Alligator mississippiensis: one gene and its partner. The protein of the gene in region 1 interacts with the protein of each later gene in a biochemical or structural test. Links are inferred from orthologs where the notes say so. Each region holds a gene or a part of one and is shown in the gene's direction. Other genes may lie near its edges.

Region 1 (7,619 bases):
GCCCACAATCTCTGGAAGATGCAGAGACAGGAGCCTCTGAGGCCCGGCCAGTTGGTATCTGGGGACAGTAGCTCCTTGTGCCAGGTGGACTGCTGAATCAGCCCTGACCTAGAGTGGTTAGGGCTGCACCCTAACTACCCAAGGGTTAGGGATGCACCCTCTACCCACTGCAGTAGTCTGGCAGTGGGGGCTGCTGCCTGGCTGTGACCTGGTGCTACCTGCAACAGCATCCGCCCCCTTGGACCTGCTGCCCCATGGCTGCACACCTGCCAGACCCAGACAGGGACCCCCTGGCCGACTGGGCTGTGATATGGGCACTGTAGCAGAGTTGCCTGCACCTCTGGGCCAGCTACCAAGAGTGATGCTATTTAATTTCCTGTAGGCCACATGCACCATGTACTGGCCCCACTTAAAAATCTTAGAGGACTTTTTCAGGCCTTGTCCCATCTTCAGTTTGCCTCAATTCTAGGGCAGAACTAGAACTCTGCAAGAATGAGCACGAGAGGCAGGCAGGAGTGGGACACATCCTAACATCATCTTTGATATTCACTTCCAGGTCTTATGATGTCAGTGGCATTATAATATGCACACATATCGCTGCCAGAATGAAACTCTGACAAACGCTTAATTCGGGGGAACATGCAGATTTAGAATTCAGAGACATTCATTGACATGCACAGCAGAGCTATCTCTGTTGCACCCAGAAAAACTTAATTAAATTATTATGTTTATCAGGCTGCTCTCTGCCTCACAGTCAATATTGTTTGAGAGTCAGGGTCATGTTATGAAATGTGCTTCCTAGCAAGTTGTGCAGCAATCGTGCAGTTCCAGTATCTTCTATCAGGTACTGATGATTTTAAAAAATCCATTTTCTTTAGAATAGTATAACCAAAAAAAGACACCTGAACAGCTCAGACTGTTACTTGAAAGACCTGCCACAAAAATCCAATAAAGTGTAGCCAAAAAAACCCAATTCAGTCATAATGCAAATAAGTTCATCACTGTCCCACGCACACTGAAATACATCCTTTTCCTCTTCACCTGTGACCTTGAAGAAAAGCCCTGCAGCATATCCAGAGCACCAGCCAATCCAGGCTGTTGTGGAACGGATGCAGGTGAGAGACAGGTGCATTGCTATGAAAGGGCTCTAGGAGCATGCTTTGATTAACTCCCACTGCAGCAGGATAGCTCAGCCACAGAGGTGTTCTCTCAAATGGTTATTTAGGACTATGAAGGTCAGCGCCAGCCTCAGCAACTTACCTCCACTTGCAATCTGCAGACAGCCAATGTCAGTTATGAAGCACTGATTGAATTGGCCGGTGGCAGGATGCTCCACTTACTAAACCAGCTACTATACCTCAAAGACGTTTTACTTGTATCTTTACAGTGTCAGCTAAGACAACTTTAGTTGCTGGCTAGAAGACTGCAAGGCTTACCCTCCAGTATGGACCTTGTCACTGTAACATTTCTCATCGTTGTCAAGTGGAAATGCAGGAGGCAGAAGCACAAGTCAAGCACCAAGGCTAGGAAAGCGCAGAACTGTTTCACAAGGGTGGGGATACATGGCTTAAAAGCAGACACTTAGGGACAGCTACAAACTGGAGAAGCTACAGGTAGCCAAAATTCAGTTGAAACAAGTGGGGTAGTGGGGTTATACCTTAGTGCTCAGTGACCTGCAGCCAATGGCTCAAATGGACTCGACCAGGAGTCAGGATGCTCTTGGCAGACTTTACATTGGATGCAAGCTATTGGGCCAACAGCGCTTGGTATCTTGAATGCATGGTCCTAAAATGACATTGCTTTGCTCTTCCCGAGCATTTGGGAGATGGCTCCATGTTTTCAGCAGACATCTGCAAATCAAGTGTAAAAGTTTGTTTCCAGAATGGAAACAAATTTTAATTTTCCCAGAGAATTTTGTAGAAGCCAGGACTTCCAGCAAATTTCTGAGTCTTGTTTTACTTGCAATTAACGTTTTAAATGAGTGCAATAAATTCGCTAATCTATATTTCATGTGAATTGCTGTGTTTTGCATCTGTGCCGTTATCTGTGCCCAGCTCTCATTTTCAGTTTTGTTCCTAATGATATTGGTATTTCCTATTCCTTTTCCATGTTTGATATAGAATCACAGAACTGAATAAAAGAACAAGAGCAAGTTAGGCTTACATTAGAAACCCTTTCCCATAACAGTACCCCTGCAATTTATTCCAATTTAGCTACAGCAGTTTCACATATGTGGATAGATATTTGCCTAGATTTCCATGGTAATCTTAAAGGTCTTACAAAAATTACAGTACAGGAATCAAATACGTTGTCCAGGTTAATTCCCAGATTGGAATCAAGTTAGTGCAGCAGTGGTTAAGAAACCCAACAGTATCATGTCTTTAATGGCAAAACCATGGAGAATAGATACGCTGATGTCAACCAAGCCCTCTGCTCAGGCTGTTATTATGGTCCAGATTCACTCACAAAGTGGTAGGATATCTGCTGGGGGCCTATCAGCAGAAAACAGGCACAAGGTCCTCTACAGTTGTAGAGCCTGCAGGGAGGTAGAAGAGCCACTGAACAGGGCACGCTGTTATGGAACGGCAGCTGCGTGTTGTCATGATTTATTATTTCAACCAGACACCTCTGTAGCCCCTGTATGGGACTTACAGCAGCCCTCTCCTGGCTTAAACCCCTTGGAGACAGCCTCTCCCTTCCTAGGAACATACCTGTGGCCCCAAGTGTCACCTGGTGCCAGATCTGTCTCTTTAAATCCTAGACTTTGAAGTGAGACATACAGAAGATTGAAGTTGGAATTGCATAGGAGCCACTAATACATCTCTTGCAAACTGCTACTAAATAAAGATTGCTGCAGAGACTGAGGCTACCCAGAAGAGGGCACAAGAAAGCTCCAAATGGACGGTGTTTGAGAGAGGATGTTCCTGGAGCTAGTCACAGAGCGATGCTGTGCTTAAACTTTATTCGCCGACTATCAACTTCTCACAACACTTTAAATTGACAGTTCTCATATTGATTTTTCCCTGTGTTGTTTCCCACATTTCCCTGAATGTAGCTCTACCTCTGCTGGACCCTTTGCAGTGGGGATCCAGCCTGCAGGCTGCACCTGCTGATTCAGGGCATAATGCCGTGGCGGTAGGAGAGGCAGGCTGTCTTTGGGGTTGCCCTGGTGTGGATGAAGGTTGCCCCCTCCAAGCTCAAATATCAAATCTGCTGCGACTGGCCCCCATGTATCACTCGGGTGCGAGGCAGCAATTGTGGGAAGGGAAAGAGAATGAGGTTTTGTGTTGATGCAAGACAAAAAAAAGAGCATATTTGCATGGTGCCAGGGCATGAGGAGCTATGGGAAAAGGCTGGCAACTGAACTGTTCACTGTGTTCAGACGTGGTCCGCGTTTCTGTTCAGCTACAGCACTGCATGCTGATGACATGCAGCAAACTGCATAATCTCCAGTCATTTATAGGAAACACACCAAAGACCATGAAATAGTATTGTGGCAGAGCACGACCTCCAGTGAGCCAGCTCCTTGCCACCACGGTCGCTGCCCCCATGCTATAGACACCTTAACGTGATTCCTAACAATAACAATTAATAATCCTTTATTTTAACCTTTCCATAGCACCTTCCTTCTGCGGACACAGCACACGCTGCACACATTAACTATGTGACACATGACGAGTCTCAGAAGAAAGAAGAGCTGTGTTGTCTAATGGGCAAAGTGTTGGACTGGGATCCTGGAGACCTGGGTTATATTCATGGCTCTGTCTTGGACCTGCTGGGTGACTCTAGGCAAACTGCTTGATAGATCTGCCTCAGTTTCCTGATCTGTAAAACGGGGTAAAGTACTTTGAGCTCTACCCATGAACACATATTTCACTTGCCATCTGAAGAAGGCAGTTGCTTTGTTGCTGACACTAATGTAGAGCGGTGGTTTTCAGCCTGTGGTCCAGGCACCCCCGGGGTGCACGGACCATCTCTAAGGGGTCCGCGGAAGACAGCGCTGATCAAAAAGCGCGTGGATCCCCACTGACGAGTCAAAGGGTCCGCACCCGCATTTGACATTCCCTTCAAACGCCTTGAGGGGTCTGCCAATGGAGAGAAAGAGGAGTGAAAACCACGGCGCTGGACTGAAAGAACAAGGACTGTCCTCCTTTACGACTGCACGTCCAGTCAGAGGAACGACCCGCGCTGGAGATCAGCCCGGACGCAGCGCCGGCACCGTCCGGGCGCACGACAGGCCCCGCGCGGTTTCTTGTACGTAGCAGAGGAATGACCCTGGCCCTTGGCCGCCAGCGCCTCCCCGGTCCTGGGTCACAGAAGAGCTGGGAAAAGGCACGAGAGACGCGCCGCAGCGCAACACGGGAAAAAAAAAGCAAAAAAAAAAAAAAAAAGGAAAAAAGAAAAGAAAAGAAAGCGCGCGGACCCATTTCACAGGCCCGACCACTGAGGCAGGGCGGGGGGCGGGGCGGGGTGAGGCGGGGCCCGCCTGGGGGCGGGGCGGGCCTTTCCTCCACCTCCACCTCCGCCTCCTCCCGGCTATAAATCCCTCGCGGAGGTCGCGGCGAGAAGCCTCCGGGTGCGGCGAGCGGAGCCGGGCCGGGCCGGGCCATGGCGCCAGCACCAGCCGCGGGCCCCGCCTGACCGCCCGCGCCACCCCCGCCCCGCGCCGCCCCGCCCCGCGCCGGGCGGACGGACATGTCGGTGAGCGAGCTCTACACGCAGGTGAGTCTCTGCCGCCGCCGCCCCTTCCCCGCCCGGCCCTGCACTGCCCTGCCCGGGCTCCCGGGGGCCGCCGTGCCGGGGCAGGCCGGGCCCTGAGGGGACAGCCGGCCGCCTCCCGCCTCCCTGCGACCTTTGCAACCGCTCTAGGTGCCGGCTCCCCTGCCCCCAGCCCGGGGCCAACCGCCGTCCCCTGCCCGCAGCCCACCTGCGCGGGTGACAGCCCCCCTCCCCGACTCGGTGGTCGTAGTCCGACTGCCAGGATTTCCTCAGGACCCGCCTCGGTGGAAACCGTGCGAATGGTTGCGGGGGCCGGGCCGCCCCGAGCCCGGGCGGGCGAGCGAGACGCTGCGCTCCCCGCGCGCGGGCTGTCCCTGGGCAGCGTGGGGTGTCCTTAGCGGTGTCCCAGCCGCACACAGCCACAACGGGATCTGTCCCTGTTCTAGAAACTTATCAACCGTGTCAAAGCAGCATCAAGTAAAAGGGTTAAAGTCAGCAGCACGGCTGTGCTGCGCTGATCCCGGCGTGTCTTGTGGTACGGGAGTAAAAGAAAAACCAAACTCATTCAGGGCGGCTCTCCTTAGTGTCCCAGCCGGTCACGGCACTGATGTGCTTCTGTCTCGCGCTCCTTGTGCGAGAGCCCAGATTTTAAGTGGAGACAGCGTAGGGAAGGATATCGTTTAATATTCCTGGTCCGGTGTTTTGTTGTTTTGGATTTTTTTTATTTGCATTGCTTGGTCTTTGTGTTTTTGTTTGCTAAACGTTCAAGGCAAGTGCGGCTTCACCCTGGGAGGCTGTGTGATCGGGAGTGGAGAGCGTACCCAACTGTATTATCCTGGTTTCTGCCTCCGCTCCTGTTCCTCCTCCTTCCCAGCCTTTGGTGAAGTTCCTCTGCCTCAGCGTCCGGTTGGGAATCTGAGCCATAGGTGCTGGGAGCGCCTGGGGGTAGGACTCGGAAGCTGTCGTGCAAGTGTGCGGTTGTTGATCAGTGTTAAGTGTGGCGCTCGGCTGAGCAGATCCGGTTATGCAGACTCCCTGGGGTCCAGTGCGCGCTGCAGGCCTGTGACTTGCGAAGAAAACTCTCAGCTGAAAACAGCACACAAGTAATCTTTAGAGATCCAACGAGTGTCGGCAGGGGAAAGAATATCTCTTTCTCCCCCCCCCCCCCTTTCCTTCTCCACTGTTAATTGACATGGGGAAGTTGCTAACTAAGCAAGATGCAATGAACAGAGGGAGGTCACTTTTTTCCTAAGCTCAGTCTGATCTTAGTCCTTGCTTTGCCGACTTTGGTTTTGGGGCAGTGGAGGAGAAGGAAACTGCTCCTGTTCTAGGAGGGCAGAATTTCTGCCTGCCTGAGAGAGGCAGGGGGAGAAAAGGTAGCATTGGCTGAAGGCAGATCAGTAAGACTTGTGGTCGGGACGGGGGTAGTGGCAGGTACTTACAATGGTAATACCTGCCGGTCACCGAGGTGCACACCATTCTTTACGTTGCGAGTGCGTGGGGACTACATCGGCGTGCACACTTCTCAGGTGTGTCCCAAGAGCACATGTTGCAGGGGAAACGGGACTTGCTCCTGTGTGATCTGTCCTGGCTCTTTCACATGTTCATCAAGCCCCGCTGGAGCACTGGGAAGGATATAGCTGCTAAGGAAATAAATATGTCCTATTTTTCTCTTGCATTTTTATGCTTGTTCTTTGTTGGAAGCTGCTTCCCATTTCAAATAAGAAAGGGAAGTCTTGTATGCATGGAGGACCTCTGAGCACTCCTACGGACAGGATTGTCTCTCCAAGGGCAGGGGCATGCTGCTCTAGAGAGCTCCGAGAAATCCTTCCCTACCATAAATGTCCTTTCAGACAAGGAGAAATGTGTGTCCTCACATCAGACAAAGTTTCTTTTCCAAAGAAGTGAGCAGAGCCAAATTGCATTGAGTTAGCGTGGTTTTTTTGGAGGATGGATGCTTTTTTTTTTTTTTTAAACAAGGGGCATAGACAGGCTTACAAGAAAAAAAGAGCAAGCTTTATAGATGTTACCAAGTTCACTGTAATCATTCAGGCTACGTCAACAGGAGACTTGCCTGCGTGAGACGGAATGAAAATGGTTTTAGATGGAGAATCCTGCCTTTGTTTATGGGCTTTTATTTATACCTTTTTAATAAGAATATTTCCCTAGGGTCTTTCCATCTGATTCATTTGAAATAATGTGAGGTACAGGCATAGGAGAACTGCATGCCGCTGACCTACAAATAGCTTTTGCTGGAAGGTTGTAGAAGTGCTGGCGTTTTGCTTTGATCCCAGTCGGCGTGGTGGCTCAGCAGTCACCAGTCTGGAATCATGTCTTTCGAGGAATTTGTGCCCGTCTGCCCACCCATACTTGGCTCTGAATGTTAGCAGTTTTTAGTAGTGATCCTGCCCTGAGCAGGTACTTGACCTCTTTCTTTCTATGTACGTCTTCCTCACTGTTTTTTCTCTGACTTCCATGATTTGACTGTACGGCTGGCTGTGTGGTATTGCCACGTAGAATTGTCCCAAGCTTTATGGAAATCTGTTGTAGCATAGTTTATGAACTTTTTTTTTGGTCATCGCCCTGTCGGTGCTAAATAGGTCCATGATCGCCCGAGTCTTGTACGATGAACTACGTTCACGCACGAGTTTCCTTTGGATTGTGTGAAACTATTTCCTGTAAGGAAGGACTTTCAGAGTTGAGCCCTTGAACTGGTGAAGGACTATGGACACTTTCGGCTTCGGCGCGTCACAGCTCCAATTGGAGAGAACTTTCTTTCTCTTTCTTTCAAATGTGTTGACTGTTGTAACTGCACTCCTTGAACATGCCTGAAAGCATGATTTAGTAACTTGAGCAGACCGCAAGGAAGAGATGTAAGAAATTCCCGATTAGCAGAGGAC
Region 2 (6,926 bases), on another chromosome or scaffold:
TCTTTGGGTGTAGACATGGAAGAAGTAGGGGTTGTATAGCCAATAACTTCCCAACCACATCATATAAGTCGGAAACTGGAAAACAAAAATGTGGAACAGGTATAACCTCAGGTGAGGTGCTGGAGGTGTTGGGAAGCAAGACTAATATTCTGCTACAGGTTTGAGAAGGTAGAGATGTGCCAGTCTAATGCACAATAATTTCCATGGGCTCTTTCTATGTTGCTTCTTATTCACGGGACATAACAGTTTACATTAGATACATCAGTATAGTGAGAAGTGATAGCATACCATGGGGGATTGAGGATGGGAAAACTACAAAAGAGCAGGGAAAAACAAAGGTTTTAACTATATGTTAAAAATGTTCGTGGCACTTTCCCCAAGAGATAGCAAGCAATTCCTGATGTCTACCTTAAATGTCAAATGAGTAAATATAGTCGATCTAAAAATCCCCTGTAGTTATGGTTGGAGAAGGTGTTCTTCATGCTTGTTTCAGAAGTAATGCAATGTAGAATGTGTCCTTTAAACAGAATTTGTATATGGTAAAATTAATTTTAAGGAATAAGCCAACTATATGTTCCTTGCTAAAGATATAATCAAGGTTTCCAGTGAACTGCCTCACTAAGCCAAGCCTTCTGCAAAACACCATTGTCAAGTCCCTATAATGCTTCCAAAAATTATCTATCATTCCCACTTTTTATAAAGATCCTGGCTAACTCTCCCTTCCTCAGTCATGGCCATTCATCCTTCCATGATGCTATGCTCTCACTATTCCCCCCTCCCAAGCCCCAGATATTCACACACATCTGGGGCAAGAAAATTGAGGAAGCTGGAAGGGATATGAAAGAGGCAAGGGATATGCATGTGTGCTTATTTGAGAAATGGGGTGTAGGTTGTAGCCGTGTCGGTCTAAGGACATATTTGAGAACTGGTTGCCCATCCTGCACGATGAATGTACAACCTTAACTCTGACCATAACCATAGTATGTCCGTGCAAGCACACATGCAAACTTACAATGATAGTTTATGCATAAAATGCTGAATGTGTAACAATCTTTTAATACAGATCATTCATTCAGGTAAGTTTTCTCAACCTTACTAGGAAAACAATTTGCAGTCTGACACCATTTCAAAGCACATACCAACACAAAGCTACATCCATTGTAACTGATGAAAGTCACACTGCCGCTATATTAATCAGCAAAATACATGAACAAATCACCAGCCCACAGTCAAAGCTTGAGGGCTCCTGGAACTTTTTTGAGATAACTGTGACAATGCAGAAGCTGTGGGCGTAAGAAATGAAGCTAAGGTTACAAAGAGGAACTGATGACTAAAATGTGGACAAAGCATCAAATGACTTAGCTGCTGATTCCCTTGCTTGTTGTGGTTTCTTTGGTGGAATGTGCAGTACTGCAACATTAAATGTGTCATTTTTTTTATAGAATAACAGTTAATACTGTGCATTAGTCTACACCCTCTCCCAAGCTTCCAGAGATCCTTTAAAACACGTTATGTTTTAAATTATTTTTTTATTTAAAATGAAAGTTATCAAGCCAGGATGACATGCAAAAAAAAAAAAAAAAATTAAAAAAACCCTTAAGAAATGGCGTTTCTCTAAACTAACATTGCAAAACCCTTAATCACAAGATGGAAATGATTTGGAAAACTTCCTTTAAAGCAGCAGAAAGGAGTGACAAGTTTGGGGTGGCTCAGACCCTCAGATTAGCTGCATGAGCCTGTGGACAGCCAGGACCCATTCCTAAACAGACACTCAGACCCCACCGTCGAAGACTGTTTTAAAATGGGACTGACTAAGTGAAACATACTGGTACTACAGGAAGACAGAAGAGGATGATGGGAAAGAAATGGCAGACCTCAACTGGTGGAAAGGGGTCTGGCATAGACTTTTACAGGAGTAGACCCTCTTAGCAGGGTAGTGGGTGGTGGGGGTATGGGTATGCAGATGGGTACATGGGTGTGCGGTTGCACGGTGTGAACTGTGTAACAGGTTTTTAGTGTGCTTTGAGCTGCCAAGTCAACCACAAGGGCCACCTGGGAGAGCGTTGGAGGTGGAGTTATATATGTATCTATCTCTATCTAGATATCTATCTCTATTTCTATATATAGAGATAGATCTATATTTAGATCTATCTATATATTTGCAAAAAAACAAAGAGCAGACAAAAAAAAACTAGCTGCCTGAGCCTTGATATGGCCTTTTAATACAGAAGTGCAGTGACTGGGTGGGGGGGAAAGTTTCACAACAGGAGCTGCTGAAGGATGCGAACGGGGGCAAACTGGGGGAACATGTTCAGTGTCTTGTTTAACCCGTGCTGCTGGATTTTTGGTTGTAGCCATGTTGGTCCAAAGCAGCTGTTCCCAAACTCTGACAGATGGCATGCTGCAAATTTAAAACAACACAACCTTATGTACCACCAGCAAATTTTTCAGTTCAACCTTAAGTACCAGCTGCAAATATTTATCATATAAAGTAATTCTAATAAATCTGTTACCTGACCAGTGGCCTGCGTACGACTGGTTTAGGGTGGTCATCAGAGAACAGTCCGGTTGCCCTCTGTCCTCTATTGATACAAAACCAGATACCTTGATGTGTATCAATAGTGGACGGATCCTCTATTGATACGAAACCAGGCACCTTTATGTGCATCGGTAGCAGATGGATCCTCTATTGATACAAAACTAGAAGTCTTTGTGTGCATCGATAGTGGACGTTTCCTCTATTGATATGAAACTGGACGCATTTATGTGTATCAATAGAGGATATATCCTCTATTGATACGAAACCAGACGCCTTTACATGTATCGATAGCAGATGTATCCTCTATTGATATGAAACCGGGCGCCTTTACATGTATCGATAGCAGACGTATCCTCTATTGATAGGAAACCAGATGCCTTTACATGTATTGATAGCAGACGTATCCTCTATTGATAGGAAACCAGACGCTTTTAAGTTTATCGATAGCAGACGTATCCTCTATTGATAGGAAACCAAACGCTTTTACGTTTATCGATAGCAGACGTATCCTCTATTGATAGGAAACCAGACGCTTTTACGTTTATCGATAGCAGACGTATCCTCTATTGATAGGAAACCAAACGCTTTTACGTTTATCGATAGCAGACGTATCCTCTATTGATAGGAAACCAGACACCTTTACATGTATCGATAACAGGCATATCCTCTATTGATAGGAAACCAGACACCTTTACATGTATCGATAACAGGCATATCCTCTATTGATAGGAAACCAGACGCTTTTACGTGTATCGATAGCAGACATATCTTCTATCGATACAAAACTGGATGCCTTCATGTGTATCGATAGCGGACGTATCCTCCATTGATACGAACCCGGACGCCTTTATTTCCTCTATTGTTCTCTTCAAGAAAAAGAGCCATCTCTATTCTTCTCTTCATCAAACATCAAGGCATCCAGTTTCGTATCAAGAGGCCAGAATAGCAGAAAACCACGATGGCCACCCTCCCGGTGGTACCCGTGCCGCACACCGGGACACGGCCGCCGCGTGCCCCCGGCACTCGGTGACCACCGCAGACGGCGCCTTTCCGCAGGGGGTGCACGCGCAGACCCCAACACGTTGCCCATGTCCTCTACGACGCCCCCTACAGACGGGGCAGCGCGGCTGTTCAAGTTCTCGACCCTCATAAAAGATGACCCAAGAGCCCGGCTGCCACCTTGTTCCCCCCCAAGGGGTGAAGATCCCACACTGTGGGGGGAATTTTCCCCTTGCCTTGGCTGTCACCTCCCCCTCCCAGGCGGTCTCCGCAGCCCGCGAGCGCGGGGCGCCCCCTGCCACGTGCGTCCGCGCTCGCCCCGCCCCCTGCCCGCAGCCCCGCCCCCTGCCCTCTGCCCCCTGCCCCCTGCCCCTGCCCGGCGCGGCGGCCTGAGGGACTGGGAAGGCGGAAGTGGCGGCGCGGTGCGGCGCGGTGAAGCGCCGGCCCCGGCGGGCGGGCGGGCGGAGGCCTCTGCACATCATCCCCGCGGCTGCTGATTTGGGAGAACCCCCCCTCAGGGTATGAGCAGCGGCTCCTCGTCTGCTCCGGGGCCCCGGGTTTAAAGCCCCCCGCGCCGGTTTGTATTTGCCCCCCGCCCCGCGCCGGCCGAGAGGATGCTGTCCGAGCAAGCCCAGCGGTGGTTCCCCACCCACGTGCAGGTCACGGTGCTGCAAGCCAAAGCCCTGAAGCCCAAAGGCAAGAACGGCACCAACGACACGTACACCATCATCCAGCTGGGCAAGGAGAAGTACTCCACCTCGGTGGCCGAGAAGACGCTGGATCCGGTGTGGAAAGAAGAGGCCTCGTTTGAGCTGCCGGGATTACTGGTGCAAGGCAGCCCCGAGAAGTACATCCTCTGCCTGGTGGTCATGCACAGGTCGCTGGTGGGGCTGGACAAGTTTTTGGGGCAGGTGGCTATCAATTTGAACGCAATCTTTGAGGACAAGCAACGGAGGAAAACGGAGTAAGTGCCCTTTTCGTCTTGTTGGGCTGGCTCGCGTTGATCCGGCTCCGTGCCCCAAATTAAACCGAGCAGGTGCATAACGCGCTGTCCTGCCGGCGGGACCCGGGTGCGGGCGTAGCTGCCCCGAAGTCAGCGGGGCTTTCGGACATCTCCGTCCTTTAAAAAAAAAATGTTATTTTTAATATACGCTGTGAATGTTATGTTTTTAATTTTTCTCTTGCTTCTGAATAGTGCCGCTGTTATCAAGGTGGGCGGCAAAGTTTGAACCGGGGTCGCAACTCGGATTCGTTCAAACTCCGTCATGCGTGTCGCATCGCTTTGCCTAATATAATATCCGTATTGGATTCGTTCAAACTTTGTCGTGTGTCGCATCACTTTGCCTAATATAGTCTCTGTTTTGGATTCGTTCAAACTGCATCATGTGGGTCACATCAATTTGAATAAATCTAGTACAGGCGTTATATTCGGCAAGCTCCATCACGTGTGTCGCATCACTTTGCCTAATACAGTGTCTGTTTTGGATTCGTTCAAACTTTGTCGTGTGTAGCATTACTTGGCGTAATATAGTGTCCGTATTGGGTTAGTTCAAACTCCATCATGTGTGTAGCATCACTTTGAATAAATCTAGTACAGGCATTATATTAGGCAAGCTCCATCATGCATGTCACATCACTTTGCCTAATATAGTGTCTGTATTGGATTCGTTCAAACTTTGTCGTGTGTAGCATCACTTTGCCTAATATAATGTCCGTATTGGATTCGTTCAAACTCTGTCATGTGTGTCACATCACTTTGCCTAATATAGTCTCCGTTTTGGATTCGTTCAAACTCCGTCATGTGTGTCACATCACTTTGAATAAATCTAGTACGGGCATTATATTAGGCAAGCTCCATCATGCGTGTTGCATCACTTTGCCTAATGTAGTGTCCGTATTGGATTCGTTCAAACTTTGTCGTGTGTAGCATCACTTTGCCTAATATAATGTCCGTATTGGATTCGTTCAAACTCCATCATGTGTGTCGCATCACTTTGAATAAATCTAGTACGGGCATTATATTAGGCAAGCTCCATCATGCGTGTCACATCACTGCCTAATATAGTGTCTGTATTGGATTCGTTCAAACTCCATCATGTGTGTAGCATCACTTTGCCTAATATAACGTCTGTATTGGGTTTGTTCAAACTCTGTCACGTGTTTAAACTCCATCATGTTCAAACTCATATAGTGTCCATATTAACATCTGTTGCAAACAGCGTGATTCTAGTTTGTCCAAGCTTATTCATTTGGTCGTCTTTGAACTCTGGTTCAAGCTTGCCGTGGTAGCCTCGTACTTTTCTGATGCTCAGTAGATCTTGGGCCTTAATCTTGCTTGCTACTTTATGCTGCAGGCCCATGCAGAGTAACTGGTAGAGAAGTTTCTGCTCTAGCAGGAACTTCCATGAGTTTTGTTAAATCAAATTGTGATTTTTTTTTTTCCCTTAACAAATTCTGAATGCCAAATGGAAATAATGGCTCTTTTAGGTTTATAAATAGCATTTTGTGCAGTAAGGGTGCTTAATCAAGCACAGCAATGTAAAGACTGATCAACACTCAGATCTTTGTTTTGTAATACTAATTTAAATTGTGCTGTTAGGGCTCTGTGTCTTTTTTTTCCCCTTTTTTACTAATTAACTGTTATGGCCCCTAATGTGGCCACAGTTACATTGGCATAAAGGTACCAGCATAGGTTATTCCTGTGCATTTATGTTAAAAACTTGTATACGTATGCAGAGCTTTATAGCAGAGTAGCTGTCTACATTAGAGACGTATTGTTTTAACTGTACTGGCCCCAAACACAATATAGTTAAAGCTCTAAGTCACTAGTTTCTACATTTTTAGACGAGAGGAATGCCTTGTTCGACTCAAGGCACCCCTCCATAACTTCAGAATTGAGCAGCATCCCATTTCAAAACCTGGTTAGATGGGGACGAACCTGAGCCTGCACTTACCTTCTCACACCTGCTTTTCTCCTTGCGGCATCCTTCAAAAGATCTTGCTGCACCCCAAGGTGCCCTGGCACCCTGGTTGAAAATTACTGCTTTAAGTTAAAAATATGGTTTTGAAACTCTGGGCCTGCTTGCATGCTTTCTACTCCAATGAATCAATGGTAGGAGTGTGTTAGGGTGGCATGGGTACTAAGGTGCACGGTTAACAGCCCAGAGGTCTCAAGTTTGAGGCTGCCCGTAGCATGGTCTGTCTGATGCCAATGAATCTGAGTTATGCTAAATACCTTGTCACAAAGGCACAGGAAAGGAAATTTGCAAAAGCAAGGTGTAACTTTATAGATTGAATGTACTCTTTTTTTTTTTTTAACATAAACTATAACAAAAATTGTTCCTTGTCTCACTGTCTTGACTTCACAAACTGAGGTAATTAACAGGGT

The links.
Region 2: the proteins of MYO5B (region 1) and RAB11FIP2 form a complex in vitro, tested with the Homo sapiens proteins (2 studies listed by BioGRID). The link is inferred for Alligator mississippiensis from reciprocal best matches to the Homo sapiens genes MYO5B and RAB11FIP2.

The regions. Positions count from the first base shown.
Region 1 is NC_081826.1:288,437,761-288,445,379, forward strand, and holds the start of MYO5B (unconventional myosin-Vb), read left to right. Parts: upstream 1-4,613; 5' UTR 4,614-4,695; coding exon 4,696-4,722; intron 4,723-4,927; exon of another isoform or gene 4,928-5,787; intron 5,788-7,619. UniProt on the Homo sapiens protein: May be involved in vesicular trafficking via its association with the CART complex. The CART complex is necessary for efficient transferrin receptor recycling but not for EGFR degradation.
Region 2 is NC_081829.1:88,734,225-88,741,150, forward strand, and holds the start of RAB11FIP2 (rab11 family-interacting protein 2), read left to right. Parts: upstream 1-3,923; 5' UTR 3,924-4,152; coding exon 4,153-4,502; intron 4,503-6,926. UniProt on the Homo sapiens protein: A Rab11 effector binding preferentially phosphatidylinositol 3,4,5-trisphosphate (PtdInsP3) and phosphatidic acid (PA) and acting in the regulation of the transport of vesicles from the endosomal recycling compartment (ERC) to the plasma membrane.